4 linked regions of the Saccharomyces cerevisiae S288C genome follow. Changing the gene in region 2 together with the main gene of any one other region gives a genetic interaction. Each region holds a gene or a part of one and is shown on either strand. Other genes may lie near its edges. The genes, in order: YPR078C, MGL2, RTR1 and APE3.

Evidence for each region.
Region 1: mutations in MGL2 (region 2) and YPR078C together harm fitness more than expected from each alone (negative genetic interaction), as found in Saccharomyces cerevisiae (2 studies listed by BioGRID).
Region 3: mutations in MGL2 (region 2) and RTR1 together harm fitness more than expected from each alone (negative genetic interaction), as found in Saccharomyces cerevisiae (2 studies listed by BioGRID).
Region 4: mutations in MGL2 (region 2) and APE3 together harm fitness more than expected from each alone (negative genetic interaction), as found in Saccharomyces cerevisiae (2 studies listed by BioGRID).

The regions. Positions count from the first base shown.
Region 1 is NC_001148.4:694,665-702,396, forward strand, and holds YPR078C (uncharacterized protein), read right to left. Parts: upstream 3,602-7,732; coding exon 2,483-3,601; downstream 1-2,482. Other genes in the region: transketolase TKL1, read right to left, coding at 1-174; OPY2 (Opy2p), read right to left, coding at 1,073-2,155; MRL1 (Mrl1p), read left to right, coding at 4,205-5,350; TEF1 (translation elongation factor EF-1 alpha), read left to right, coding at 5,930-7,306; GRS2 (putative glycine--tRNA ligase), read right to left, coding at 7,450-7,732. UniProt on the Saccharomyces cerevisiae protein: Induces the SOS system when expressed in E.coli, therefore, it may play a role in DNA metabolism and/or in genome stability.
Region 2 is NC_001145.3:683,149-691,198, reverse strand, and holds MGL2 (putative carboxylic ester hydrolase), read right to left. Parts: upstream 3,684-8,050; coding exon 2,334-3,683; downstream 1-2,333. Other genes in the region: EFR3 (Efr3p), read left to right, coding at 1-504; DML1 (Dml1p), read right to left, coding at 689-2,116; YMR209C (uncharacterized protein), read left to right, coding at 3,915-5,288; ERG12 (mevalonate kinase), read right to left, coding at 5,401-6,732; acetyl-CoA carboxylase HFA1, read left to right, coding at 7,635-8,050. UniProt on the Saccharomyces cerevisiae protein: Converts monoacylglycerides (MAG) to free fatty acids and glycerol. Has a preference for palmitoyl-MAG. Does not play a significant role in ethyl ester biosynthesis. Also possesses ester hydrolase and low but persistent TAG lipase activity.
Region 3 is NC_001137.3:446,840-454,584, forward strand, and holds RTR1 (RNA polymerase II subunit B1 CTD phosphatase RTR1), read right to left. Parts: upstream 4,405-7,745; coding exon 3,724-4,404; downstream 1-3,723. Other genes in the region: YER137C-A (gag protein), read right to left, coding at 863-2,185; YER138W-A (uncharacterized protein), read left to right, coding at 2,635-2,739; EMP65 (Emp65p), read left to right, coding at 4,726-6,396; COX15 (Cox15p), read left to right, coding at 6,620-7,745. UniProt on the Saccharomyces cerevisiae protein: RNA polymerase II subunit B1 C-terminal domain (CTD) phosphatase that dephosphorylates 'Ser-5' of the CTD and regulates RNA polymerase II during the transition from 'Ser-5' to 'Ser-2' phosphorylation.
Region 4 is NC_001134.8:772,107-780,568, reverse strand, and holds APE3 (aminopeptidase Y), read right to left. Parts: upstream 5,870-8,462; coding exon 4,256-5,869; downstream 1-4,255. Other genes in the region: SNF5 (Snf5p), read right to left, coding at 1-902; APM3 (Apm3p), read left to right, coding at 1,106-2,557; YBR287W (uncharacterized protein), read right to left, coding at 2,715-3,998; HAB1 (Hab1p), read right to left, coding at 6,213-6,647; YBR284W (metallo-dependent hydrolase superfamily protein), read right to left, coding at 6,937-8,462.

The sequences.
Region 1 (7,732 bases), on a different chromosome or scaffold from region 2:
GATCCAGTCTGGGTTGGTTGGGTTCATGCGCATTTGACTCCATAGAACGTGTGCAGCTGGTGCCATACCCAATGGAGCACCTGGGTGACCTGAGTTGGCCTTGGATACGGTGTCCACAGCCAAAATTCTTATGGTGGAGACGGCTAGCTTATCAATGTCAGTGAATTGAGTCATTTTGTTTGCTAAAGAGGTAACTATGTAGAGTTGCTTGGGATGAGCTTCCTTCTCTGTTGTACTTCAGTTTGATCTGAAACTTAAAAAACGAAATTTAAAAGGAAGACAACGGTGAGAACAAGAAATGAATGAATCAAGAAGTCACGATCAAGTATGTAGGTAAAAGATCAGGGGGGAGTATGTACGTAACCAAAAAGATTGGGAAAGAGTTTATATATGAATCATGCCTACGATCGTACCTTCTTGGCTTTCCCAAGAAAATTTTTCATCTCTCGAACTTCTCGAGAGATTGCGAACGGAACGGCAAACGCCGCCGGCATTTCTCGGAAAGAAGACTAGAAAATAAATGACGGTGGGAAAAAAAGCAAGAAGCTACGGTTACCCGCAGCGGCACTATAGTAGATGGGCTTTTAAGCCCGTTTTCAGGGTCAGGTAATATGTAATGTAGTAGCACTTAAACTTGCTAACCATAAATGACCAAAATGCAAGTTTGCTGTATTTTAGTCCCGTTGGCGTTTTCGGATGCTTCATTCCCCAGAGAAGTGATGTGTATGCGAAAAATGTCTCAATGCAGCTTTGGCTGCTGCGGAACTTATCCGCTTTGTAAGCACATCTTGTTTTAATGTGTATGAATTTTTATATTTGGTTCGAAAATTATGACATTCGGCCAAGAAACTTTCAGAGGAGCTGTGTATTAGCAGATGGTAAGCGCACGTTGAAAATGCTGAATATTATTAATTTAGACATACCTTGATGGCTGAACAGTAGTCAGAAAATTAAAAAAAAAAAAAAAGCGCTTATTACGGCGTATACACGTAACTATATAGACGTAGATCATTGAATATTGATATGATATAATATTTTCCCCGGGATTGCAGAATACTGACACGCCTTTTATTTATCGTTCATCGTGTATTTCGAACTTGTCCTCAAACGGGCTCTCAGTGCGACTGCCCTGGGTGCTCTCGCGTATCGATTCTGGAATTTCCAAGTCCAGTATAAAACTTCCTTCTTCATCGTCATCTTCGTCGTTATTACCATGGCTTGCCTCGCTTTTTGCCATGTGTGAAAGATCATCCGCCTCTGTCTGTTCTTCAATGACATCCAAGTCCTGAATCTCCTTATCACTCTCTTCCTCTGCGATTTGAACCAGTTTAGGTTTAGCACGAATAGCAGTTATGAGGTTATCGTCTGCGTCCTTATTGAGTACCTGGTTATGCTCGTCATCTTCGTCATCCAGACCATCCAAGATGGAAGAACCTAAGGTTATATGTGACCTGATATCACCAGCTGCATTTTGTCTCTTAGAGCTCGAGCGTAGTTTTGATTGCAGTTTGTCGGTACTCAAACCGCTTGTCACACCAGGAATGTAGGCAATAGGCAAAATATTAGAAGCCCTTGTACGAGTGGTAGATGCTGAACTTCTGTTTCCCGGCACGTTGAGAGTTGGAGGTACCAGTGACGTATTGAACAGGGTGTGACTTTCATCTTTTCTCATACCGCCATCATCCTCATCGTCTTCATCATCATCGTCTTCATCGTCGAAGTATTCCTCTTCATTCCCGTAACTTTGCGATGCCTCTTCCAATTTCAAAGCTTTATTTTTTTGCCTTTTGGGCTTCCAATATCTCTTGTTGATGAAATACAACGCCACCAAGGCAATAAGCATCGCACCACCTACAATACCCACGGTGAACCCCACAATCAACGAGGTTTTCTCATTTGAATTACTGGAACTAGAACTAGAGGAGGAGGAAGATAAACTACTCAGTTGTGAATCGGACTGTTTCGCACAGTATGTGGATGGGCACTTGTCACATGTTAATGAAGTCATAACACAATATTCTCCTGAAGCGCAAACAGGGCATGATGCAGTTGAATCGCAAACAACACATCCGTCGCTGCCTCTAGTTGCAGAAGTTGAAGAGGTGGCTGTGCTTGACAAGGATGAACTTGCAGAAGCCTTGGAGGAGCTCGACATTTTTTGTTTGATTTTCAGAAAACGAACGTAACCAGTTTGATAAATGTGGTGCCTCTCTTATTCGGCCTGGGAAGCAGTGCAACAATAGCGCACATTATAATCATTTGATTTTAAATTCACCCCAGGACAATGGGGCATTATTTTCTGTTGAGAGGGTAACGCGTTGTTTATTGAGAACTTAACGCGTTTCGATTTCAAGAATGCACTATAGTGCGGAAATGTAAACAGAATTTATTGATACTTGGCATTATTTGAATTTTATTTATATCTTGCCCGAACATGTCTTGACACAAGCAAGGAACGTTTGCTCATTAACCTTTTACACGGTTATGCTTGTACCAAAGGCTGATCACCTGGTTCGGGCACAAAACAGAGTTTAGTTTCCAACTGTGTTTCCTTTCCCGGATCAGATGATGGTAAGGGAACGGTAACGGCGTCTTCATCTTTACAAGGTTGGCCCTTCTTAAGATTTTGATGCTTTGTAGTCCATTTTTTGAATCTTCCTTGCAAAAGATAAATTTCCCTTCCCAAATTATTTCTAAGTGTGTCCCACACTCGTGGCACGTTTTCTTGATTTTTGTCGCCAAAATTAGCACTCTTATGGAAAATACGGAACATACCACCGCTGTTATTTTTAGAACTACTCTTTTCAGAGCCGAGCATATCAAGAGAAGTCCTGACATATCGGTATTTCAAAAGAGTCTTTTTATTCTCTTGCAAAGGAGGCCCGCTAATAATGCTTTCCGTATCATCAGTTACTAGCTCCTTTTTGATATTTTTCCCAAATGTGGGACTTATGGAGGTCTTCTCAGGTTCAGAAGCGGAGTGAATTTGGCAGGTTTCATCAATTTTAACTAATGTATCGTCATTTTCAAAATCGTCAGGTGTTAAGGGTGATATAATATTCAATCCATTCATAAAATCATCAATATCACTAAAATATGGTGTCTTGCCCCGTTCCATCAAGTCCTCTCCATATCCATATACTTTATCATCGTTTACCTCTTCCAGATTATTATCAGATGGTAGGGCTAATTTACTCTTATTTTTTCTAAACCACTTATTCAACCTCTGTCTCCAATCACGATCATAGCGGCCATGCAATTGAGAAAGACTCTTCAGCTGCGTATTTGAACTGCTTTCACTGTCAGAAAAATTCTTATTGGTTTTAAACCAGCCAGAACAAGATCGGAAAAAAGTATCACTTTCAGTAACTTCTTTAATCACTTTTTCCAGCCTGGCAATTTCTTGGTCAGTTTTATCGTGAATATGATCAACTCTGACACCTAATTGTGCAGTCTCATTGATTAACCTTCGTAAATCTTCGCTTTCAGTCAAATGCGTTGTTATTTCAGCTTCTTCGTCAAACTGGAAGGTTCGTTCATCATCAGACCTAAGCTCTGAGGGGCTTAATACTGTTGGTAAGACTCCAGAAATCGTTTGCATGATTGATATTTTATCTTTTTATATGATTTTGTTTTTTAGTTATACTTACGCTTGCTACCCTTACTTATGAAGTCAGTCTCTTTTGTTAGCTTTTATTACAACACTTATGAGAAATTTATAAAAAAATCCCAGGAATGCTTTCACAAATTATCCATTCTACATAAAATCTTTTTTTATAGTATTACTTTTTTGTGACATCAAAATGAAGCACTAAATAATTATAGAAAATATTCAGCAAAAAAAAAGAAAAACCTTCTTCTGAAAAAAAAAAAAAAAAATTCAAAAAAAGACACCTTTCTACCTTGGCAGTAAATTTCAAATTAATTATTTACCAAACTGTAGTTCCCGCTCACTAATCCTTTCTTATACTTATTCACATTACTGTCACTTTGCGGCTGTATTTGGCCGCGTTTCCCTTTCGGGTGCAGGTACAAGAGGTATCCGAAACAAGAAGGGTTAAGTTTTGAAGAAAATGCCAAGTATTTCAATTTCAATAATAAGAACGCAAAACTACAGGAGACTCTTACTAAGCATACTACTTCTCAAAAAAGGGCTTTATTTTATAGAACATAAAACATACTGTAGGATCGCACACTGGAAAATATGTTGAAACGATCATCTCTAATATATCTATCATGTGTCCTAATCATTACCATACCAATACTTTTGCATGTATACAATGGTCCAGGACTGTCCCATGAAGCCAATGAACATAGGGCTTCTCACAAGCAAAAAAGAACGTTAGCAAATCCGGATAAACCCAAAAGCGAAAACGATGAAGATCTATTTTGTGCGGTAACCAACCCAGTCACCGGATCATACATAGATCTATCACAGCTATCTTCAACTCCCAACAAATTAAGGGAGGGCCAAAAACAGATTTCTGGCAATAACAAGCATGAATCCTCCAAGACGAAGTGGTCAGTGAGAGGTTGGGGCTACGATACAAACTTCACGTTAGGCATCTGCTCTAGTCCTGTCGGAGAAGCTGAGTCGCAACAACTGTCCAATCTAACGGGCGCTTTTTACGTAGACCAGTTGAACGAAAATAATTTAGTATCGATTGGAGACTTCAGTACAAGGCCTGCGTTAGTCGGCGGCTCTACTGCCAAGAAATTAACTCTCAAATACGAAAACGGCTCTATGTGCCCGAACGGGAAGGACAAGAAGGCAACTTTATTGAATTTTGTCTGCGATAAAGAAATTCAATCAAAGGCCCAGATATCATACATTGGAAACCTACACAATTGCTCGTATTTCTTCGAAGTCCGCAGCATTCATGCGTGCCCCACCTCAAACAAAAAGAATGAAGTTAACGTTTTGGGTATCTTCATCGGTATCTTCGCTATATTCTTTTTAGTCGAATTTGCGGGGAGAAGATGGATCTATGCTAAACTAAATAGGCATTTGAAAAACGACGACGAGTTACACGACATATCGCCATCTTTAAATGAGCAACCACACTGGGACCTCATAGAGGACGGGTCTCGCTGGAGTAAATTTTTCAACGGGATAATTAAGACGACAAGAAGGTTCACGAAATCTTTAATGAGGTCTTTAGTCAGAGGCAGGAACAGCCGTCAAGGGGGCATAAGACTACGGTCATCCCCATCTGCCTCTTCGTCCAGCCTTGCCAACAGGGAGTTCTTCAGAGACATGGAGGCTCAAAACGAAATTATTGACAGCCTAGACATCAATAGTCATACAACAGAAAGCGACCACCCAACTTTGGCTGATAATAGCGTATAAACAATGCATACTTTGTACGTTCAAAATACAATGCAGTAGATATATTTATGCATATTACATATAATACATATCACATAGGAAGCAACAGGCGCGTTGGACTTTTAATTTTCGAGGACCGCGAATCCTTACATCACACCCAATCCCCCACAAGTGATCCCCCACACACCATAGCTTCAAAATGTTTCTACTCCTTTTTTACTCTTCCAGATTTTCTCGGACTCCGCGCATCGCCGTACCACTTCAAAACACCCAAGCACAGCATACTAAATTTCCCCTCTTTCTTCCTCTAGGGTGTCGTTAATTACCCGTACTAAAGGTTTGGAAAAGAAAAAAGAGACCGCCTCGTTTCTTTTTCTTCGTCGAAAAAGGCAATAAAAATTTTTATCACGTTTCTTTTTCTTGAAAATTTTTTTTTTTGATTTTTTTCTCTTTCGATGACCTCCCATTGATATTTAAGTTAATAAACGGTCTTCAATTTCTCAAGTTTCAGTTTCATTTTTCTTGTTCTATTACAACTTTTTTTACTTCTTGCTCATTAGAAAGAAAGCATAGCAATCTAATCTAAGTTTTAATTACAAAATGGGTAAAGAGAAGTCTCACATTAACGTTGTCGTTATCGGTCATGTCGATTCTGGTAAGTCTACCACTACCGGTCATTTGATTTACAAGTGTGGTGGTATTGACAAGAGAACCATCGAAAAGTTCGAAAAGGAAGCCGCTGAATTAGGTAAGGGTTCTTTCAAGTACGCTTGGGTTTTGGACAAGTTAAAGGCTGAAAGAGAAAGAGGTATCACTATCGATATTGCTTTGTGGAAGTTCGAAACTCCAAAGTACCAAGTTACCGTTATTGATGCTCCAGGTCACAGAGATTTCATCAAGAACATGATTACTGGTACTTCTCAAGCTGACTGTGCTATCTTGATTATTGCTGGTGGTGTCGGTGAATTCGAAGCCGGTATCTCTAAGGATGGTCAAACCAGAGAACACGCTTTGTTGGCTTTCACCTTGGGTGTTAGACAATTGATTGTTGCTGTCAACAAGATGGACTCCGTCAAATGGGACGAATCCAGATTCCAAGAAATTGTCAAGGAAACCTCCAACTTTATCAAGAAGGTTGGTTACAACCCAAAGACTGTTCCATTCGTCCCAATCTCTGGTTGGAACGGTGACAACATGATTGAAGCTACCACCAACGCTCCATGGTACAAGGGTTGGGAAAAGGAAACCAAGGCCGGTGTCGTCAAGGGTAAGACTTTGTTGGAAGCCATTGACGCCATTGAACAACCATCTAGACCAACTGACAAGCCATTGAGATTGCCATTGCAAGATGTTTACAAGATTGGTGGTATTGGTACTGTGCCAGTCGGTAGAGTTGAAACCGGTGTCATCAAGCCAGGTATGGTTGTTACTTTTGCCCCAGCTGGTGTTACCACTGAAGTCAAGTCCGTTGAAATGCATCACGAACAATTGGAACAAGGTGTTCCAGGTGACAACGTTGGTTTCAACGTCAAGAACGTTTCCGTTAAGGAAATCAGAAGAGGTAACGTCTGTGGTGACGCTAAGAACGATCCACCAAAGGGTTGCGCTTCTTTCAACGCTACCGTCATTGTTTTGAACCATCCAGGTCAAATCTCTGCTGGTTACTCTCCAGTTTTGGATTGTCACACTGCTCACATTGCTTGTAGATTCGACGAATTGTTGGAAAAGAACGACAGAAGATCTGGTAAGAAGTTGGAAGACCATCCAAAGTTCTTGAAGTCCGGTGACGCTGCTTTGGTCAAGTTCGTTCCATCTAAGCCAATGTGTGTTGAAGCTTTCAGTGAATACCCACCATTAGGTAGATTCGCTGTCAGAGACATGAGACAAACTGTCGCTGTCGGTGTTATCAAGTCTGTTGACAAGACTGAAAAGGCCGCTAAGGTTACCAAGGCTGCTCAAAAGGCTGCTAAGAAATAAGGAGATTGATAAGACTTTTCTAGTTGCATATCTTTTATATTTAAATCTTATCTATTAGTTAATTTTTTGTAATTTATCCTTATATATAGTCTGGTTATTCTAAAATATCATTTCAGTATCTAAAAATTCCCCTCTTTTTTCAGTTATATCTTAACAGGCGACAGTCCAAATGTTGATTTATCCCAGTCCGATTCATCAGGGTTGTGAAGCATTTTGTCAATGGTCGAAATCACATCAGTAATAGTGCCTCTTACTTGCCTCATAGAATTTCTTTCTCTTAACGTCACCGTTTGGTCTTTTATAGTTTCGAAATCTATGGTGATACCAAATGGTGTTCCCAATTCATCGTTACGGGCGTATTTTTTACCAATTGAAGTATTGGAATCGTCAATTTTAAAGTATATCTCTCTTTTACGTAAAGCCTGC
Region 2 (8,050 bases):
ATAGAAGAAGCTAACGATACTGTAATTTCTGATGCTAATGCAAAAGGTAGTATCTATAGGTTTGTTGCTGAGGACGCAAGATCATGGAAAACAATGAGAGCCACCGCACCAAAAGTTAGCGATTTGAAAAAAACTATGAATGAAAAGAATATTCCAAATAATATGAAAAGAGATGGCTCTTTTCGGGGTTCTCAATCAGTGAAATCTCGTGTCACTAATATCACATTTTTATTAAATGAATTGAAAACTTTTTCAGATGACGCGAATAAAATCAAAGATCCTGATGAGGAGAATATTGTTGGCTTGGATAAAATCGACGTTGCTAGATCAAATTCTCTGCGACTTGCACCAATATCTAGTCTTTCTGATCGCAGTAGCATTGGAAATAGAAAATCCTTTTTGCAAAAAACAGCAACTGGTGAAAATCAAAACGATGACTTTAAAGACGCAAATGAAGATTTACATTCTTTAAGTTCAAGAGGTAAAATTTTCTCCTCCACTTGAGAAATTAAGTTTTTGACGGACAGCTGTGGATGCTTTCAAGGGCAAGAGTGATATAGCATGACTTTCTAATTAATGTAATTTACGTAGATATAGATCAAATGGCGAAGTAAAAACTTCGAAAAAGATGGAAGAAGTCCTGTTTGCCTCAACTGGAGAAAGGAAATACGTAGCTGCAAACTGCTTATCACATATCGTCATCACCAGAATCTTCGTCTTCATACCACCCAGATTCGTACGCTGAGGCGTAATCGGAAAGTTCATTTTTCAATTCTTCTCTGTCACTATCATTTTTGAAGTACCTTACCACAAACTCATTCCAATGTTTGAATATATCTCGATTTTTTTCAGATGATTCTAATTCCAAAACAAATTCACGATCATTGGAAAATTCTGTCGGTATCGTATCAGATGGAAAATACCTGTGTGTATACATTTCAATCATCTTACTCCGTGAATCAGGTTCGGAATGATGTTTATGCGTTTGATTTCCTCTATCAATGAAACTTTTTGAAAATATGTGAGTAGAATTTGGTTTGTGGCTATTCTTGAAAGGAAGTACTCGAGAACAGAATGAGTAATCGGTGTCACCGATAACCATGCCAGTGACCATATTTCGCGACGAATATCCTAAGGTAATGGCAGTTGTTAGATAATCCATTGTCTTTCTTTGTTCAAGATTGCTTTGGGAAATTGTCGCATTTATAGAATCAAATATCCTACAGCTCTTTCCAGCAGTTTCCCAATTAGTTAGTCCAGGAGCAGCATACAATGGGAAGTAAAGATCGGATTCTTGCATCATATTTATTGTGCTTCTTAATTTGTTCGAAATGATCGGGAGCCATTTCTTTGAAAGTCTTTTCATAGGGAAGTCATCTGTGAATGGATCATCTTCATTGTGTCCCCATGAAAAGACCGCCTTTTTAGGTAATTCATTCCTTAATTCCACCAGTAGAGCACTAGAAAACCCGCCCCATCCACTCTCCATATCACTTACAAGATTGAAGCCTTGCAGGGTGTCACATTTTTCCAATTCTCTATGCAAATTTCCATCAAAAAACTCTTGCAAGTAATTTTCGGTAAATTCGTCATAACCAATGGAATACCTGTCAAACTTTCGCTCCCCCAAGTTTTGAAAGTCAGGTTGGTTTGGATTTTCAGTGTCATGGTACCAATTTCTCAAAATATTGAAACTTGAAGGACCATAGATAAGTTTAGAATAGTCAGACCAATACATCGTATTTTCTCTGTTCAAACAAGGCAGCGGTGCTCCTGCATCTAGAGAACTCTGATATTCGGATTTAGGTATTCTTGGATGAGTCTTTATAACTGTTTGCTCCTTGAATTTGTCTTCATTGCCGAAATGATAGTCTTGGCTTTCTGAATATTGATATGTTCCTAGTGAACCATTACCTGTACGGGCATCCCAAAGTAAGGCACGTGGTGCATATGAAATTGTTTTTGAAACTTTATCTACAACCGAATTCAGAAAAATTTTGGAGTCATTGACTTGTTGTTCTTTAGACAATTGTAAATAGCCCTCTTGTATATTGAAGAATTGAGTAGTCAAATGGTTTGCTCTCTGCGAAACCGATATCGTTACTACTTCATGCATTTTTTATTCTTGTCTGCCAATTATATATGTAATTTTAACAATTAACCCTCTTCTTCCAAGGTTTTAATTCATCGCATCGATTATATTTTGTTCCATTCGAAATTTTCCATTTTAAGTTTGGCGAAGCTTTTCACGTTTTCATTCAGAAATAATGATGTCGAACATCAAAAAAAAAAATTATCAGGTTACACATCTAAAAAGTTGACTTATTTACAAACTAATTCGCGCGAAAGGTTGTGGCTATGGGTTCGCAATTAGGATCTGGGAGTTGAACATTTTCCAAGTCAGGTTTTAAGCCCTTTACAGTAATTTCGTCGTGAAATATTTTCAAAAATCTGCATAAGGGTTCTGCGTACCACCTTCTGCCGGATCTGTCTTTGAACCATCCAACATGCCCCCCCGTCGAAGTTTCTAGAAGCAAAGTGTATGGATTGGATTTTATTTGGTCTATAGGAAGATCACCTCCGACAATTGGGTCATCCTGAGCATGCAAAGCTATAAAAGGAGTTCTGATCCCGGGTATTCTTTTATATGATGAAGCATTCTTGTAATACTCCTCTGCATTTTTATATCCAAACATTGGGCCTGTCAACAAGTTATCAAATTGCCTCACAGTGCGAATCTTTTTTAAATGCTTCTCGATAACATCTTTGAAATCAGGGTTTTCTTCCAGAGTAGAGAGATGGTTTCGAACCATGCGTAGTAAGTTGTGACCCAAAGCAGGTGAATAAAATCGTGACCCCATTGGTGTACTGTTAATAAAATATGCAGAGTTGTACAGGTCAAATGGATTACTCACGGAAATAGCACATTCGATTTTAGTACGATCTGACTCTTCTCCCAAGTAATTTGTCATTATAGATGCGCCTAACGAAAATCCCATCATATAAAACTTTCTATTCGGAAATCTTTTCCTCAAGTCATTAACACAATATCTTATATCATTGGTCCAACCACCGTTGTATAATAGCGGCGTTGTAATTGCAGAATAACAACATCCTCTAGCATTAAACACGCATGCTTCAAAGTCATACTTCGTGGTGATTTCATGAACAATTGCCCTCACGTAGCTTTCCCTCGAACCCCCTGTTAATCCATGGAGAATAATAAGCATAGGCTTAGCATCGTCTGAGTTCAATTTAGGATCATCAGGGGAATAGTACGAATATCTTCGTTTCAAGTTTCCGTTAAATACCGGTTGACTTGTCGGCACGTATTCTTTTTCCACTTTTCTTCTTTTGGTACTTCTACCATTTACAGCAAAATCCACAGTCCCTTCTCCCCCATGTGGGTATTTGATTATCATTCTTTTATATTGAACTTTGTATATATTGTCAAAGTGTCTAAAGGAACCATATGCAGTTTGTAAATGGCCATTGACCAGTAAACCATATAAAGTGTCAGTAGCACCGTCAGCTAATTCAGGAACTTTAGTATCTATTAGCTCAGGGATGGTGATCTCTTTATTTTCATTCTCTCGTTTATCGGTGGACTTGAATGCAATAGGATCCTCAGGGACCTCTTGATGAACAATCAAAAAATTAGGTAACAATTCTTTTAGACGCATATCGTCTCTGGAAGTTTACCAGCGTTTGTATAATACAGTTTTAAAATAACAAAGTAGTTGGTTTTTATCGAACTTCAAATAATTGAGACCCTTTTAAGATCCACAATACTTTTCGGGGTTAGGTAAGAAGACCCGTAAAAAAAAAAAAACGTAAACGATGCTGTACAATTAACAAATTTTTCAGGAAATAGAAGAGGTAAAAATATTGATATACGAAGTTGAGGAGCGCCAATGGTTAGCTCACTGGCATCAAATATAATTCTAGCCCTTGTGGTAGTCCTGATGACACTGCTAAGGCAAAATAAGCCGTTGCAGAGGTGGTTTGTATCATATGTTGAAAAGCTATTATCAAGAAAATCAAATCTGGCCCAAAAAGTCAGCGTTTTATCGCCCTCCTTAAAATTGGTTGATGTTGAGAAATCAATATCTGCCGATCAATCGAATCTTTCTAAAATTAATTATCAGATTCCCACTCTTCCTGATCTTACGGGGAATTTAATCCGTTTACATGAGTATCGAGCAAGAGGAGAAGGCTATAATGGCCTTTTATTTCGGAGAGCAAGACAATTAAATGGAATTTCAGAAGATCAGTTGCAAAAATTAGGCTACTTCACCAAATTAATGAAAAATAATGAGGGTATCCGAGAAAACGCAAGAGTTATTGACAAGATAATTGAGTTCACTTTAGGGAAATTGATTCATTCCAACGAACACGATGAAGAATTTACAGAGGAAATTGAAAAGATATGCGCGGAACACGGCTATAAGATTAAAGATGGTCACCTTATTCAATTGAATCCTGACTTCGTATTTCCAATAGTTTCGTCTCGAGGCAGCCAAAGTGTGGTCCATGAAGCATTAGCACATTTGTGTCGTGATTTCAGCTCTTACTATAGTGTGGAAAGAGATCCTTTACAAAATTTTATCATTAGTAGAATCAACCATCATGTGATTAGTGCCGGGGACATGAAAGAGAAAATTCTTATCGTGACCCCAGGGGCTGGTGTGGGTGGCCTATCCCATACTCTTGCCACCACTTTCCCCAAAATACAGGTGGACTCCATCGAATTATCAGCCTTGATGTACATATGTAACCTATTTGCACTCGAATATAAGCATGACGTTAAGATACGTCCTTTTGTACAACAATATTCATGCCAGACAGTGTTTGATAATCAGTTGAGAAGTTTATCGGCAGATTTGAGCAAAGTTGGCCACCGCAGTAATCTGGACCCACTATGGGGGGACTTCACACGATATTCTCCCATTTCCAAAGACTATGATAAAATTATCATTTGTAGCGCATATTTCATAGATACCGCGGAAAATATGTTTGAATATCTATCCAGTATTGAAGCACTAAAGAAATACTGTAAAGAGCTGCATTGGGTCAATGTAGGTCCATTAAAGTATGGCACCAAACCCTTGGTCCAATTTACAGGAGATGAATTAAGTCGGCTGCGTAAAATTCGCGGGTGGAAGGACCTTGTGGAGGAATATGAAGTTGATAGCTCAAAGGGATTGAATGGCTATTTAACTGATTATGAGTCAATGTATCAAGGATACTATGGTCTGCTTAAATTTCATTCTGTCTTCGAAAGCTGAATTGATACTACGAAAAATTTTTTTTTGTTTCTCTTTCTATCTTTATTACATAAAACTTCATACACAGTTAAGATTAAAAACAACTAATAAATAATGCCTATCGCAAATTAGCTTATGAAGTCCATGGTAAATTCGTGTTTCCTGGCAATAATAGATCGTCAATTTGTTGCTTTGTGGTAGTTTTATTTTCAAATAATTGGAATACTAGGGATTTGATTTTAAGATCTTTATTCAAATTTTTTGCGCTTAACAAACAGCAGCCAGTCCCACCCAAGTCTGTTTCAAATGTCTCGTAACTAAAATCATCTTGCAATTTCTTTTTGAAGCTGTCAATTTGCTCTTGAGTAATGTCTCTTCGTAACAAAGTCAAAGAGCAACCGCCGCCACCAGCACCGGTAAGTTTTGTGGAGCCAATTCTCAAATCATCGCTCAGATTTTTAATAAGTTCTAATCCAGGATGAGAAACACCGATTGAGACAAGCAGTCCATGATTTATTCTTATCAATTCCAATAGTTGTTCATACAGTTCATTATTAGTTTCTACAGCCTCGTCATCGGTGCCTTTACATTTACTTAACTTAGTCATGATCTCTAAGCCTTGTAGGGCACATTCACCCATGGCATCTAGAATTGGCTTCATAACTTCAGGAAATTTCTCGGTGACCAACACACGAACGCGAGCAACAAGATCTTTTGTAGACCTTGGAATTCTAGTATAGGTTAGGATCATTGGAATGGCTGGGAAATCATCTAAGAACTTAAAATTGTTTGTGTTTATTGTTCCATTATGTGAGTCTTTTTCAAATAGCAGGGCATTACCATAAGTGGCCACAGCGTTATCTATTCCTGAAGGGGTACCGTGAATACACTTTTCACCTATGAAGGCCCATTGATTCACTATATGCTTATCGTTTTCTGACAGCTTTTCCAAGTCATTAGATCCTATTAACCCCCCCAAGTAGGCCATAGCTAAGGCCAGTGATACAGAAATAGAGGCGCTTGAGCCCAACCCAGCACCGATGGGTAAAGTAGACTTTAAAGAAAACTTAATATTCTTGGCATGGGGGCATAGGCAAACAAACATATACAGGAAACAAAACGCTGCATGGTAGTGGAAGGATTCGGATAGTTGAGCTAACAACGGATCCAAAAGACTAACGAGTTCCTGAGACAAGCCATCGGTGGCTTGTTGAGCCTTGGCCAATTTTTGGGAGTTTACTTGATCCTCGGTGATGGCATTGAAATCATTGATGGACCACTTATGATTAAAGCTAATGTCCGGGAAGTCCAATTCAATAGTATCTGGTGCAGATGACTCGCTTATTAGCAGGTAGGTTCTCAACGCAGACACACTAGCAGCGACGGCAGGCTTGTTGTACACAGCAGAGTGTTCACCAAAAATAATAACCTTTCCCGGTGCAGAAGTTAAGAACGGTAATGACATATTGACAGTTTTCTATACGTAGATATAAATTTGCAAGTTAGGACTAAGAAGCGCACCAGCTAACCAGGAAGTAATATCATGGCTAACTAACCTTTATAGGCATATCGTTGTATCGTTCTTCGATACCCTGTCGAAGATTTCAGTGCGACAGCCAAACGAGGCCCGAAAATTGTCAGTACAATTACAACCGATAAAATACACGTTGAGACAAAACTAGCACAAAACGCCTCTTTAAACATAAATGTGTACGCATTCTGAAAGTGAGATAGAGTACAAGGCTATCGCTAGCTTTCCACGGGAGAAGTAGTAGGAACCTCTCTTTTTATTGCTTATGACAGTAATAATAGCATCATTCATCAATGTTTCCGTTAGGGTAACTAAAATGGGTGGGCGGCAGATGACAAGAAAAGATGAATAATGAAGAATGATAAAGAAGAAGTCATCTTGGGTAGAAAGGGAAGACAATTACACACGGCCAAAGCTGGGGGGCTCGCCGGATACATTCTCACTTTTACATTACCATATTCACAATTACTTGCATTCGAATAGGACAGTACAAGCTCGCGTTATATTTGGATCCTTATCGATTCTATAATATAACGGGCAGCCAGATAGTACGGTTGAAAGGACAGCGCCCTGAATACAGAAAACGCATTTTTGCCCATTCGTATAGGCATTCATCTCGAATAGGTTTGAATTTTCCATCTAGAAGAAGGTATTCCAATTATGTGGATCGAGGCAATATTCATAAACATACTCGATTACCGCCCCAGTTCATAGGGCTAAATACTGTGGAAAGTGCCCAACCTTCAATATTAAGAGATTTTGTTGATTTACGTGGTGGACATACTGTTATTTCAAAGATCTTAATAGCAAACAATGGTATTGCTGCGGTGAAAGAAATGAGATCTATAAGAAAATGGGCGTACGAGACGTTCAATGATGAAAAAATCATTCAATTCGTGGTAATGGCGACACCTGATGATTTACACGCAAATTCGGAGTATATTAGAATGGCAGACCAATATGTGCAGGTACCAGGGGGTACCAACAACAACAATTACGCCAACATAGACTTAATACTGGACGTGGCAGAGCAAACGGATGTGGATGCGGTCTGGGCTGGATGGGGCCATGCTTCTGAAAATCCGTGTCTTCCTGAGCTGTTAGCTAGTTCACAAAGGAAAATACTATTCATTGGTCCTCCTGGACGCGCTATGAGATCATTGGGTGACAAGATTTCTTCCACTATTGTAGCACAAAGCGCTAAAATCCCGTGTATCCCTTGGTCTGGTTCACATATAGACACTATCCATAT
Region 3 (7,745 bases), on a different chromosome or scaffold from region 2:
GGCCTGAAACTGGTTCTTAATAAAAGCTAGTATCGTAGTAAAAACATCGAGGATAGAGTCCTCGCGACGGTCGTGTAATGGATAAACCCAACGGAATTTTGTTGTCTCATCAGTAAATGAGATGAAATAGGATGGTGCACTTTTTGGTAGGTTGTGAACTGGACCAAATATGTCAGTATGTAGGTATTGAAAGGGTTCGTATGAATTTTGGTATTTTAGTCGTGAACCTTTGATATGTCTGTGTTTGGTGCTTTTGCCGATTAAACAATCAGGACATTGATAGTCAATAGCACTAGACCAGTCGACATCTGATTCGTTAAAATACGTGATGGTGTTATTTTTAAGTGAGTATCGAATTGTCTGTGCATTGGCATGTGCAAGCATTCGATGAATGAAAGGATAAGGATATTTGCGTGTACTTTCACTTGTATGGACATTATTGATGGTGGGTACGGAGATATTTGATGGAAGCAAGTACTTTTTAGATACCCAGTAAAAGTCTCCATATTTTACGATAGGTGCAAGTACAGTGCCGTCAGATCGTTCTAAGACGTTTTTGGTAAAGCATGCTGTGATATCTACTGCAGCCAATTCATTCAAACTGAGTAAGTCATAGGCTATGTTAGGAGTGTGCAATACCTTTATTGATGTTTTGGTGTTGTCCTGGAAGTGAAATTGTAGGTCACCAATAGCGTTAATTGGTATATTTCTTTTTTGAGCATCAACTACGTTTATGTCAGGATTAGATGATGCTGAGTGTATGTGATGAGCAGATCTTATAAGGGTTCGTGATGCTCCTGAATCGAGAAGGAGGTGTCCAGGGAGTTCATCATCAGAATGATTAGTGTGATTTACCGTAGATTCAGTAAGTTCCTGGCCTAAGGTGAAGGTCGTGCTTATTGTTCAATTGAATCGGTTCAGTAGTTGATTTACTGATGGAATCGTTGTCCGTGCTGGGAGAGTTATTAGATGTGGATACATTGTGAGCCCTGGCTGTTTTCGATTTCGAATTATTTGTTTTTTGAGGATTCCGAGCTATAACTTTGGGTTTGGTTGTATTCGTATAGCTGCGAGAATCATTCTTCTCATCACTCAGATTTCTCCTGTAATTAGGTTTGCTGTTTCTCGATCCCTGTTGTTCTTCATAAATAGCATGGATATCTAAGAACAGTTCAGCGACTGTCATATTTAGATGTCGATGACGTGTGTAGCGTAAAAATTTATATTCGCCAGATAGACCTCTCATAATTAATTGGCATGCGACCTTGTTATTGATATGAATGCCATTATTGTTCAGTCTGTCGATAATGTTTGTGACTTTTGTTTCAAATGCATCTGCAGGTGTACTGCCATTATATTGCAAATTTGCCAGGGTCACAATGTCGTTTGCCTCTTGGGTATCAGATTGCATTTTTTCAATACTTTTGGAAAGAATTTTCATGATATCCGTATAATCAACGGATAGGATGTCTTTGACCCAGGTAGGTAGGAATTGAGAGGGAGCAAATATTTGAAAAGTGTTATACAAGAAGGTGAGTTCATCATCAGTGATCTGACGTACGGGTTTTCCGTTTACTGTCGGAATAATACCACCGAGATTCGAGTTTTGTAAAAATTTGATGTATGTTTTAACCCAATTTGGAAAGTCATTAGGTGAGGTTAACATTGGTGGTGGTCTGACATATTTTTTAGTGGATGTCATATCAGAGTCCGCTGAGGATGAATCAGTAAATGTATTACCTGACTCAGGTGATGGAGTGCTCAGAGGCGTTCCAACTGATGATGGATACTGCGGAAACTGTGATTGTGGCCCAGGTGGAAAGTACATAGGCGACATTTGATAAGGTGTATACGGAATCATAGATGGGTGTCCGTAAAATGACCAACCAGATGGATTGGCTTGGTTTTGGGTCATCATGCACTGCTGTGGGTACGGCCCATTCTGTGGAGGTGGTACTGAAGCAGGTTGAGGAGAGGCATGATGGGGGTTCTCTGGAACAGCTGATGAAGCAGGTGTTGTTGTCTGTTGAGAGTTAGCCTTAGTGGAAGCCTTCTCACATTCTTCTGTTTTGGAAGCTGAAACGTCTAACGGATCTTGATTTGTGTGGACTTCCTTAGAAGTAACCGAAGCACAGGCGCTACCATGAGAAATGGGTGAATGTTGAGATAATTGTTGGGATTCCATTGTTGATAAAGGCTATAATATTAGGTATACAGAATATACTAGAAGTTCTCCTCGAGGATATAGGAATCCTCAAAATGGAATCTATATTTCTACATACTAATATTACGATTATTCCTCATTCCGTTTTATATGTTTATATTCATTGATCCTATTACATTATCAATCCTTGCGTTTCAGCTTCCACTAATTTAGATGACTATTTCTCATCATTTGCGTCATCTTCTAACACCGTATATGATAATATACTAGTAATGTAAATACTAGTTAGTAGATGATAGTTGATTTCTATTCCAACACATCTACTAACTAGTATTTACGTTACTAGTATATTATCATATACGGTGTTAGAAGATGACGCAAATGATGAGAAATAGTCATCTAAATTAGTGGAAGCTGAAACGCAAGGATTGATAATGTAATAGGATCAATGAATATTAACATATAAAACGATGATAATAATATTTATAGAATTGTGTAGAATTGCAGATTCCCTTTTATGGATTCCTAAATCCTCGAGGAGAACTTCTAGTATATCTACATACCTAATATTATAACCTTAATCACAATGGAATCCCAACAATTACATCAAAATCCACATTCTCTACAAATGAAGAAACTGCTTATAGTCAATTGAACGATTTACCGGTATTTTAACGCCATTATATATATTAGTAAAAAGATGGCGTATATTGATGGACTAACAGGGTCAAATAAAATCATGAATTGACTAGTATATACTTATAAGTATATCGTTCTACACAAACTAGGAAGATGACATACATGATGAGAATTGGTTATCAAATTCCATGGATGCCGAAACGTAAAAGATTTACTAAATAGTAGGATAATTATTGATAACATACAAAACAAAAAAAAAAGAGACAATATTATTATCTAGAAGTGTCGACTTCCTTCTGTGGGTTTCCTATGTTCTCGAAGAGAGCTTCAAGTGTATTCTATAAACTAAGAATATTAGTTTAACGAAAGATCGAAGTCAGACACCTATCTAACTTTCATTAAATTATCACACAAAAATCCCACATACTCTCGTCTTGCTAAACAAATAATAAATTGAAGGTGAACGATTCTTCTTGCAGCGTCCTAGCTGTTGGGTCGTCTTAGATAAATATCTACTGTTCTGAATTGCCAAATTTTCCTTCTATTGTATCCATTCGATGCTGGACGGCCAGTTCTACCGTTATTGCCCAAAAGGAAGGAACGTCGCGATACTTCAACACATTAAATACTTGTTGATTTTCGAACCAAAACTCTGAAGCAACACTTTCGTATATGGATGGCCCTTCAGAGAAACCAATAGGTATGTAAAGAATTGCTACGTGGTGACTCAAAGTGAATTATAGCAAAGTTATAAAAGCGCTACATTGTAGAAAATTGAGAACCACATTTTGACATACACGAATAACAGTATTTTTGTCCTGGCGCTGTAAAGTATTTTAAGTTATGATGATGAATTAACTATTTTCAGCCAATGAAACGTCCATAATCTGTTCTGAATTTAGGTGCATTGATATAGCCGGTCAATCTTCCCTTGTGAAATCACCCAAAATGCTGGGATTATCATTCTCAACAATTTTGATTTGTGCCAACCACTTCGATAAATCATCTTCCAGCTCAGTATCATCTTTTTCTGTAGTCCCACTGTCAGGATTTAATCCTAACTTTTTGAGACCGGATATCAATGATTTAATGTCTTCTTCGGATGCCTTTTCTCTTAGCAACTCTTCAAACAAAGTCACTTTGAAATCTATATCGTGTTTGTCCTGTTCAGGATCTTCAAATAGGTGAACCCCTGTTCTTGCAAATAAAGCTTCATCAGATAGTTGCACTTGATAAAATTGGGAACATCTAAAATGGAACTTACTGCAATAGTGCGACAAATATGCATACGGATTGTTTTCTAATAAAAATTTCTTAGTAGTATCATTCATTGAAAATGGATCACGTATTCTTTCTGGCGATTTACCGCAAAGAGGATATCCGCATCTTTTGTTTAGATTCCTCTCATCTACTAGGTCTTGATACATATCCGGTGTGAGAAATCGGCCCAAATATTTCAATGTTTTCTCATCCTTGCATTCTGAATCACATAATAAGCCTATAATCTCTAAAGTTATAACTTCTGCTTCATGCATGGAAAGTTGCCTGTGCTTTTGGAAAGGGATTAACGCCGTTTCCTTAATATCTTCAATCGTCGCCATTTCTTATTCTTGTTAACTTCGTCCTAATTTTTCAAACTAAGATGCCGATGTATAGATATTTTAGACTGGGAATGTTTATGAATTGTTCAATTCGCTCCTCAATGTGTCTCTTTCTTCACTTTTCCATTGCTTTTGACCACTTCTGGATGCCAGCTGATTTTGTATTGTAGTATTCCTATTTCGGACAAAAATATCGGAAAGAGATGAAATAAGAAAATTAGTTACTTTTAATATCACGATGCTGTCTCTGAATCGACCTGATCGATCTATAAGGTGTATATATTATTCTACCGAGTAATCCAAAAAAAAAGCAGCACTCCCATGCAACACAAGGATACGGCAGTAGCGAAGGACACAGCTAAAAAACGTTTACTGAGAAGAAATAGTGCGCCGTCAGCTATACATATAATTTCACGATTAGACAAAAAGTGGTCCTTCCTATGGAATACTATAGATAGACACAATATTGTTGAAGAGCAAGATGAAAGTAGCGCTGCAAAAAGCGAAGAAGAACATGAGGATGATTATGAATTGGAACAATTACTCAACATGATAAGAATACCAATGTTCCTGGAAAAGTTCATGCTCTTTGCACTTTTAACAAGCTTGGACTGTTTTTTGTATTACTTTACTGTATTACCGATACGACTGATAAAGGGATATGTAAAGCAATTCAAGAGTTATCGTCAGCATTATCGCCTGCAACAACGGTCTGGGCATAAGAATAAAATACCCTTTCGATATAGAATAACTTCAAGAGAATATAAAGAGAGATGTATGATTTTTATCATCGTGATTTCATCCATTTTGTTGAGCAAACTAGACACCTCAAAACTATATCACAGGATAAAACGGCAAAGTACGATGAAATTGTACATGCTATTCAGTGTACTGGAAATGGCGGACAAAATGTTGGCAAGTTTGGGCCAGAGCTTATTAACGGTTATGCTTTCTAGGAAAAACTCGGAACGGATATTACTGCATAAATGTTTGTTAGTGTCAATGAGCTTGACATATGTGACTATACACGGCTATGTATTGGTTTACCAGGCCATTTCATTAAACATAGCCGTGAATTCGTATTCCAATGCCTTGCTAACTTTATTACTATCCATGCAATTTGCAGAAATCAAATCATCGGTTTTAAAGAAATTTGATAAGGAGGGATTTTTCCAAATAACCATTGCAGACGTAGTGGAAAGATTTAAGTTGACCTTATTATTGTCAATAACTGGCCTTAGGAACCTCCAGTCGTGGTCATCTTCATTATCGAACACAAGCATCAATTTCTGGAGTCCACGTTCCACATTATCAATCGTCATTAACATACTTTGTGGGCCGATGGTAAGCGTGGTAGGGAGTGAAGTGTTAGTGGATTGGGCAAAGCATGCTTACATCACAAAATTCAATCGGATCCGCCCACAGATATATGATAAGTTCTATTATATAATATACAAGGATTATTCTACGAGAACGCACAAATTAGAAGATAGATTGGGATTGCCTTTACCTGCATTCGTTGTCCTTTTTATTGTAATGGTGAGGCCAACACTTTTTAAATCATCGGAACCTTCTTACCTTCCTTCGCTATTTAGGATCCTCTTCATGGGGGCATCCGTGTTTTTACTAGCATTGTTGGCAAAATTTACACTAGATCTTATTTTAATCAAATGGAGCAAACGGATAGAGCAACGGTTCAGAGACCAAGCTTTCAATACCGTTGTAACTGAAGAAGAATACGTCCCAGGTTTACTCTCGGGCGGTATGGGTAAAGTCGACGTGTCTACAAGAATTGCATTACATTCTGATTACAATAAAGAGAATCGTATAGAGACCGAAAGTGTATCGCCAATGCGGAAAAGAAAAACTACTTTAACTGCTGAATGTACTCCTCCTAGCCTAAATGATATTAGAAGACAGAAAGATTCCAAGAATCCACGATCGCTTGAAAATGTCGCTCGCTATAAAATGGTTTCTAAAAGAATATGGTAATCTAAGATCCGCATTTATCGCGGCTTACGGCTTTCGGATATTTCGTATATTGCAAGGAGCAAAAAAGAAACCCTGCTTACTAAAAAGCTATTGTTTTGCAGTTTATAAGTTCTTGCCTTTTGAATTATTGATCTTTCCTTTATCGTTTATTTAGTTTCCTATTGTAACTTGGAACTGTATTATATAATAGTGCACAGCACTGAAGTTGTAACTACTGTACGTCATGCTTTTCAGAAACATAGAAGTGGGCAGGCAGGCAGCTAAGCTATTAACGAGAACCTCGAGTCGTTTGGCCTGGCAAAGTATTGGGGCCTCAAGGAATATTTCTACCATCAGACAACAAATCAGAAAGACTCAACTATATAATTTTAAGAAAACTGTGAGCATCCGTCCATTTTCTCTCTCCTCCCCTGTTTTTAAACCACATGTTGCTTCAGAATCAAACCCTATAGAATCACGTTTGAAGACCTCGAAGAATGTTGCTTACTGGTTAATAGGTACATCCGGTTTGGTATTTGGTATTGTTGTTCTTGGTGGGTTGACTAGACTAACAGAATCGGGGCTGAGTATTACCGAATGGAAACCTGTCACAGGTACTTTGCCCCCTATGAACCAGAAGGAATGGGAAGAAGAATTTATCAAGTATAAGGAATCACCAGAATTTAAATTGTTGAATTCTCACATTGATTTAGACGAGTTCAAGTTTATATTTTTTATGGAGTGGATTCATAGATTGTGGGGTCGTGCTATCGGCGCTGTTTTTATATTACCTGCAGTTTATTTCGCTGTATCTAAAAAAACTTCAGGCCATGTCAATAAGAGGTTGTTTGGTCTCGCAGGTTTATTAGGATTACAAGGATTTGTTGGTTGGTGGATGGTGAAGTCTGGTCTTGATCAAGAGCAACTAGACGCAAGAAAATCAAAGCCTACCGTTTCTCAATATAGACTTACTACGCATTTGGGTACCGCCTTCTTTTTATACATGGGTATGCTCTGGACTGGTTTGGAAATATTGAGAGAATGTAAATGGATTAAGAACCCTGTTCAAGCCATTAGTCTCTTCAAAAAATTAGATAATCCCGCAATTGGCCCAATGAGAAAGATTTCTTTAGCTTTGTTAGCGGTGTCTTTCCTTACCGCTATGAGTGGCGGTATGGTTGCCGGTTTGGATGCTGGTTGGGTCTATAACACCTGGCCAAAAATGGGTGAACGATGGTTCCCTAGTTCTCGTGAATTAATGGACGAAAACTTCTGTAGAAGAGAGGACAAGAAAGATCTGTGGTGGAGGAATTTGCTAGAAAACCCGGTTACAGTTCAGTTGGTCCATAGGACATGTGCGTACGTTGCGT
Region 4 (8,462 bases), on a different chromosome or scaffold from region 2:
AGTTGAGGAAGTTGGCCAATAGTTGGCTGAACATTGGTGGGAGGTTGTCCACTCATGGATCTAACTTGAGGAACTTGCTGAGATTGCGGTATTTGTCCTTGCTGCTGCTGCTGCTGCTGCTGCTGTTGTTGTTGTTGTTGCTGTTGTTGTTGCTGCTGCTGTTGCTGTTGCTGTTGCTGCTGTTGCTGTTGTTGTTGTTGTTGTTGCTGATGCTGCTGCTGCTGTTGTTGTTGCTTTTGTTGCTGCTGTTGTATTTGCACATGATGCCTAAACTGTTGTTGCTGTTGTCGCTGTATTTGGTTTCTAAGTTGCTGCTGCTGTTGCTGCTGAACCAGCAATTGCCTCTGCTGTTCTAGCTGAGTTTGTGCCGTTTGCTGTCCCTTTTGCTGCTCAATTTGGCGTTGCACTTGTTGTTGTGCAACAGTAATTGCATTCACAACCTGTGGATTATTTTTTGCTATGGCCTGCTGCCTCAACTTGTTCAAAACTTGTTGCTGTGTAGCCAAAGGTAACTGAGCAATTTGTGGAGGCAAATTAATAGGCGCTGGAGCTAAGGGCACTTGACCAATTTGGGGATGTAAGTTGTGTGGTGCTGGAGGAGGAGGAGGGGTAGAAGTCGCTGATTGATTAGCAATGGGTTGAGATTGTTGCGGAGGAGGGGGTGGAGATTGATGCGTTTGCGGTGGCGGTGAAGTTTGTTGTTGTTGTTGTTGTTGTTGTTGTAGACGACTCCTCAGTAACTGTTGGTGTCGTTGCTGAATCATCTGCAATTGTTGTGGTGTGAGGCTCTGATACAGCTGTTGCGGAATTTGCGCCATGTTAAAAGATGGAGTTCCAATGTTGCTAAATATATTTCCAATACTATTTGGAACGCTGTTGGTACCCTGCGGCTGATTATTCATTGTTGCTTTTGTGTAGTTCTTTACTATATGTTCCCTTGATGATGCTTTGTTTTGGTGTTTATGTTTGAAATTTCAGTTTCTTTTAAATGCGACGAAAAATGAAATTTTTGGTCAAAGAACAAGAAGAGATTTATTTAAAGTTGGCGATAACAGGACTTGGGCAACAACAGAGGCTGTAAACCTTACCAACCCAACCAAAATAGATGTATTTGTCATTCTATATCACTGATACAAAGAACAAACTTATTTTCCAGTATCTTTTAGGTGCAACAGCTCCCTCCTTCAAGCACCTGTGGACCCGCGTTCAGTCCACATGTCCTCAATTGCTCGAAGATAGCAGTAGTGATGATTATTTAGACCATTCAATGGTTGGAAGAGATTTAGAGGTCTATAAGTATTTCTCAGTTATAAATAAGCTCAATTATTGGTGCTTAGCCTCCACTTCGAAGTCAAAAGGCCCGCTTGATTGTTTTACCTTTTTAGAGACTATAGATCGTATCCTGTTAGAATATTTTGACAAGGATAAATTAAGTATCAAGAAAATTGTTAATAATTATGATAGAATCAGTTTGATTTTTAACTGTTGCGTCGAAGCGGGTGAACCAAATGTGAGTGATATGCTCTATGTTAATAAAATTAAAGAAGCTGTTCCTGAAAGATCGGATTTATCGAAGTTCATAAGTTCTACAGCCCATAATTTACAGCAGGCTGTGCAACTCCCACAACAAAGGCAACAGCAGCTACAACAAAATCAGATTTCTCGTGGTAGTAATTCACTAATCGAAAATGAAGAGATTGTTCCCTGGAGAACTTCAAGGGCTAGCAAACATGAGAATAATGAGCTTTATGTGGATTTGTTAGAAACATTCCATGTTGTATTTGAAAAGAAAAAATCACATCTAAGGTTGCTCACTGGAAGTATCCATGGAATAGTGGACGTGAGATCTTATTTGAATGATAATCCTCTAGTTGCAGTAAAATTAAACACTATGGGAAATGATATAGGTATACCCAGTTTGCATGACTGTGTTGAAATCAATGATGGTGTGTTTTCTCCCTCTAATATAACGTTTATACCACCAGATGGGAAGTTCAGATTGCTGGAGTATTCCGTCGATTTAAGTTCTCAAGTAAAGCAATCCGGAGTAAGGATGAATTCTATTGGCTTGATGTCTTTACACTTCCAAAATGGATTGGGTAAAGATTCTGATGAATTTGAGTTATCCTTAAATATTGAAAATTTCAAAAAAGTTTCACAAGTTGATGACCTAAAAATAGATTTACAGTTCAATGTTGAGAATGCTGATCCAAATGAAATAGCATATAAGATAAAAATATTGCGCAATACTCATGGCCGTTTTGAAAATAGCATTATCATGGGTCAAGGACAATGGATTTTTGATAAATCAACTGCCACTGGAACGGTACCTGTACTACGTGGCTGTATTGAGTATGAAAATACTGGGCCAAATTTTACAAAAAAAGTTGATTTACAAACAGTCTCCTTAGAATATTCTTACATAGGACAATCGGCCAGTGGAATCTATGTAGAAGCCATCGATATTGTATCTGGATTAACAATTGGCAAAAATACAAAGCTGTACAAGGGTGCAAAGTATAAGACCCAGACAGGCAATTTTCAAGTAAGGCTGTAGTTATATGTGTACTTGAAATTCCATGCGAAACTAAATAGAATATAATGAGAATATAAGTCTTGGAATAAAAAAGGAATATAAAACTATGCTAAAAAAAAAAAAAAATGAATAAGACTTTCATTCATGAAGACTCTATACAAAGGAATGAAAAGTTGTATTAAGTTGGGTTAGCCCACTGTAAAACGTAAATTGCACCTGAGACAACAATAATACTTACAGGCAAACTTAAGACAGCGTACCCCCAAAATAGAATATCGGCCATTTCTGCCTCGAAAAATTCATTCAGTTGAGTGATTTGAGTTAATTGAATGGCAGGAGGGGAAACAGTCAAAAGAAAACCGACAACAAGGAAAATTGGATCGTCCAAAATACTCACGTTTATGTACTTAACAGCAATAGCAATAATAGGCAAAAGGAAGCAAGAAGGTAAAATCATTCTTCCGATGATGGAGCCGATCAATAACTTGCTATGGTGAACCGTCTTAGGGAAGACTTCCGCAGAAGGATATAAGTTAGAACCGAGGACAACCAGGATCAGTGGGATAGAAACTGAACCCAGCTGCGTAACAGCCTCGGCAAATGTGTTATTGATAAACCCATCTTCCATAAATAGCTCTCTCTGCAACGGACCAATTGCTGCCACAACAACAGCAAAAATCATGGAATATAACGGAGGATTAAGGTTCGCTCTGATTCTCTCAAATACAGTGCATGATTTTTGCCAAATCTTATCACCGATGGAACTCGAACTCAAAAAAGATGAGTTCATTCTGTTATTTTCTTCTTCAAGCAATTCTTGTTCCTCTTGTTCCTCATTGACAAGTTCCTCGTTATCAATGTTGGGCGTCCTTTCCAACAAAGATTGCACTTGAGAAGGTGGCATATGCTGAGTGTTCTCTCCAGACCACTTCATTAGCTTATTGTAACCCCAGCTCCACCTCAGCATTTGTCCGATTTGTTGAAAGATCAGCAAGTATAAAATACCCCTTGATGCAACGTTATCTCTGTTATCATTAGGAATTTGGTCCCAAGTTAAGTTGGGCAGAGTGTAAGCCAAAGATAATGTCAAGGACACAGGTAGAGAGTTACTGTTACCAAAGACAGAGTTTGCCACCACAAAATTAGTTTCATCTTTATCCAAGTCTAGGATACGGCTCATTATCTTTCCGGAAATAAATGAAATACCAGTAGTCAAACCAAAAAAAATAGGAATGATGGCTATTTCAAAGATTTTGGCCATGGACAGGGATTTGGCCAACTTACTAAAAATAAGACATGGTGTAAAAAGGTCCACGTTCAACAGAGAAATGATTTTTTGACTTTGTTTGGGCAGCAGACCAGAACTAGCGCTCCAAAAACCAGCGAGTGCGATAATGACTACCTGTAAAACGGACTCAAAGACCAAATAAGCCAAATGAGCAAAACTAAATGTTTCAACCATATAGTAGAAATGCAGAGTAATCTATGAGGGTATGGTTAGTTGGGAATAACAAACCAAAAACGGGCTTCACACATATTGTTCAATTTACAATAATTTCCTGTTTAAACTTTTATATCACAATTTCAGTTTTTTTTTCTACCTTTTTTTCACTTTGATAAGGAGGCTGTGATCCCCTTGATGCACGTGCAGTTAAAAAAAAGAGGGTTTTTATTTTCTTTTAGATAATTATACAGAAATACTTGATGTGAACAGTACACTTAAATAATCAAGAAGTCGGCCCTGTACTTAAATTGTGGTTGTTGAGCATTCAATATGTCCACCTCTTTGTGCTTTTGGGTTTCTCTTTTTGGGAAACCCTCGAAAGAGTCAGCATAGGTGGCCACAGAGTGAGCAATCAACTTGGTGTTGGTAATGAATGCGTCCCAGGATAAGTTAGAGACATCATCACATAATTGATGGTAGCATCTGTCTAAGACCTTTCCGTTGTTGACGTTATTCTTTTCGGCACCAGTGGCAATACCACCGGCTGGAATTCCGTTGTTGATAAACCCGACATAATCGGATCTACCGTCAAATGGGACCAAAGTGTAGTTCAAGTGATGAGCCTTGTAGTAGTCTACGTACAGGTTTTTCAACTCTTCAGACCCCTTAGGGTTCTCCTTGTTGTTCGCATCATAAATTTCGTATTCATAGTTTGGAGAAGCCATCATGTCATAGTCCATAAATACTCTGATCTTGGAGTTTTCTTCTTTGGTCAAGTTATAAGCGTAGAAGTTAGAGCCTAGCAAACCTTCTTCTTCAGCAGCCCACCATGCAAAACGGACCTTGTTATTGATCTTGAAATGGGTCAATTGCTTAGCGACGTTCAATAGGGAAATAGTACCGGAACCATCGTCGTTGATACCTGGGCCCTCCTCAACAGAGTCTGAATGAGCACCAAGGGCAACAATATTATCAGGATCACCGTGTTTTGTGTCGGCAATGATGTTCTGGGTCTTGATAAATTCTACATAAGAGTCCATGGCAAAATATAATGAATAATCGATGTTCAATGCAATATTGGCAATCAATTTTTTACCAACTTTATATGGAACACCGACGGTGGCGACAGTGTGCTTGGTAGGTTCGCCTAATGTACCGTGTAGTCCTTCTTTAGATTTAGGTTCGTTGTCGTAAATGACCACAGCGGTGAAACCGAACTTACCGGCCAAATTACTCTTATCGCCAAAAGGACACTTACCTCTTTCGATAAGGGCAATTTGCTTTTCGTTGTGTCTTGGTGGGACTACAGAGGCGTAATCCTTCTCTTCACATCCCAAGTTAGGAATTTCGACTAGCTTACCTACGAACCCGTCCACAGGTGGAGAAAGTGCGAAAGCTGTAGTGTTAGCAAAGCTTTTACCGGTTTCGGCGTCAGAGAGGTTGAAAGAGATGATCTTACCGGATAAAGCTTCGAACTCTTGCAAAGAAACATCATAGTAGTCCTGCATGTCATCGAAAACATTCAATATGTATTCCATAGTCTTGTTATGACCCTTGGACCCGATCACACGGGTAGGGTGACCGTAGTCAGGAGTAGAATAGTTAGCTAAACGGTAGAGGTCCCAAGCAGTAGCATTCAAATCGTCAACTTTGATTTTATCTTGCAATTTTTCACTTTCTACATGTGGTTTCATGAAGTAAGGAATATGTGGCTTCGGAATGTTGGCAGCAACGGCAGAGCTATCATCGTCGTTTAATTGCGGAAGATAATTCTCAATTGGCTCTTCTTGTTGAAAGGCTTCCTGGAAGAATTGAGGAATGACATAGGCAGAGCCTAAATTGGTAGCGTAAAACGCAGCGACAGCCAATTGCTTCAAAGAAAAGTGCATGGTTGGCGTTTCTGTTTTTTTTTTTTTTTTGGCTTCTTCTACCAATTGTTGAAAGGCTGAACATGGTTTTGTTCCCATCCATTGTTCCTCGCTTTTATATTGAAAAAAGAAAAATTTTCCTAAGGACCCCTTCTTCCTGAGGGTTAATTTAAGGGAATTCAAAGTGTGTCAATAGTAATTAATAGAACTAATCAATATATTCAGTATAACTTTTATTATTAATAGTATATGATATTACTTTTTGAACTATATATTTATGGAAGCACAAAAACATAGAGAACACTCTTTCTGACGATAAGAAAGGTGATTATATCAAGATATATAATGAAGCAGCTCAATTGTCTTATTTCTTGTATCTCAAGTAGCTCCTTCTAGTGCTACACTTTAGTATTCTGCTTTGTTTATCATCGAACCTATCAAATTCCACGGAATCCTCTGGTGAATATGTGTTCTGGTGCCGTGTTGAGTTATCGTTATCCAATTTGTGTTCATTGGCGACAAGGCCCTTTTTCAGCTCATTCAAATCTATGCAATGATTATTAACGCCTTTCTTATCAATGGCAACCTTACCCAAATTGTTTCTGTTTCTAGTCAGGATTGTAGCCATTTCTCTATCTGAAATGTCCGCCTCCATGCTATCGTCAGTGGGGCTTTCTAAGGATTTTATGTTTATGAAACCATTGTTTTCATTGCAATAGATTATTTCAATGGGGGAAGGCTCTTGCTTTTTAAAGGAGAATAGACTATCAAAATATGAGAACCTAGAAAATATGGTCATTGTCAACTATAAGCGAGCTTAGAGATTTCGAATTGTTATGTTATAAATGGAGTGATAAGACTCTTGTTTGAGGCTTGGGCTTTTTGATTTATATTAAATTAAGATATGTAAAAAAAAAAATAAATTAAAAAACGTGTGTTCTATTTACAGTATCTACTTACTTATTTGTTTATATATTCCATTAGTTTACTTATCTTTATCCTTAACCTTTTTTTTTTGTGTGTGTGGGGAAGGGCGGTACATAATATTAGCGTCACAATATGCGCCCCTCGAAGAAACATGAGCGAATTCACGCAATTATGAGTCGCCACTCCCCTGCGAGAGTGCTACTGCGATATTGACGTCTGATGATCGGAACGTTATGCTCTAAACTTGTATTTGGTTTACAATCATACCACTTGTCTACAAACCCAGTGTTTTCCACGAAGTAGTCATGGCTGGCTAAGGAAACGCCGAGCCATTTGTTCTTTAGGGTACTTGAAAATCCACTGGTTATGACACTGTTTCTTAGAAGTTCGCATAAATCTGCTGAATGTAAACGGTATATACTAGCCGCTACACTATACTCTTCTATAATGGGTTCTTTCGTATACGAATTGTTGTAGAGGATAGATTCTGAGCTCAGCGATATCTTGAACCCCATTTCAAAAAACTTCATGAAAGGGTTCTTCTTATAAGGCTTTGAGGGCTCTAGGACAAGCCCCGTCGGGGCTTGTTCTTGCAGCATTGTAGGCTTTGAATCTACTATGGAATTCAAAGGCGCCACAACCATGGGAATTTGACTTAGATAGAAAAGATACACCAGTGATGGTGGTGCATTCCAGAGATTTTCTGCATTTAGAAACCCTCCACAGGCGAGCAAGAAATTGTTTAAAATAGCTTCCGTATGTTCTGTGAAGTTCAGTGTATTACTAAACTGTGAAGTTCGATTCATTGAGGTGGGAGAACATGAACTTCTCAAAGTGAAGGTATTTTGATGAAGGGCTTGGCGGATATGGTTCAATTTTGTTAGGTTGACGTAGACGTAATACATATATTGTGAAATGGTTGGATTATCACCGCCAGATGTCCAATCTTTTGGCAAGCAACTAACTGCTGTGAAGTTTTTCCAAATATAGTTGTCCGTATCTTGAATACATAGATCAATCGAAGATACTTGAGAAAGAAATTTCAAAAGAATAGGTCCTAATGACTTGTGTAGATAATTTTCGGCATTGAAAAGTGGTTTGAAGATTAGATTTAAATACTCCTGAAAATTCTTCACCTTGCCAGTATGATACAGTTCTGGATAAATTCTAGAAATGCGAATATTCCAGCGAATATTGTTAGAAAATATATTATAGTGGTTCAGCCAATTGGCAAAGACCATCCACCAATTGTCCACATCGGAATTATCGTAATGCAGATAAAATTGGAAGTCCACGGAGAGTTGACATAACTGATATTTCGACTCCTCTTGCGGTTTTATTAAAAACGTTTTCAGTAGTTCCGCTAAGTATTCACCATTAATATAGTTATCAAACTCCAAAAATGTTTTCGCAATCAAATAGTATCGAAGCTGCTTACCGTGTGAGCCTGTGTGTATTTCCATTTCATCGTTAACCAAATGATATTTTGCGAGATAAATAACTTTATACCACTCCAAAAATGAATCGTCAATAATTTTCAACCCATTGAAGAACTGACCGGTCTCCTCGAAATTCACTTTGAATAATTGGCTCAAGGTTATATGACTACCATTAAAAGCTTGATGGATAACCCTGTCCGGTTCTTTTCTCAACTTGGTCCAAATAAACTCAGTCAATTGCCACTGTG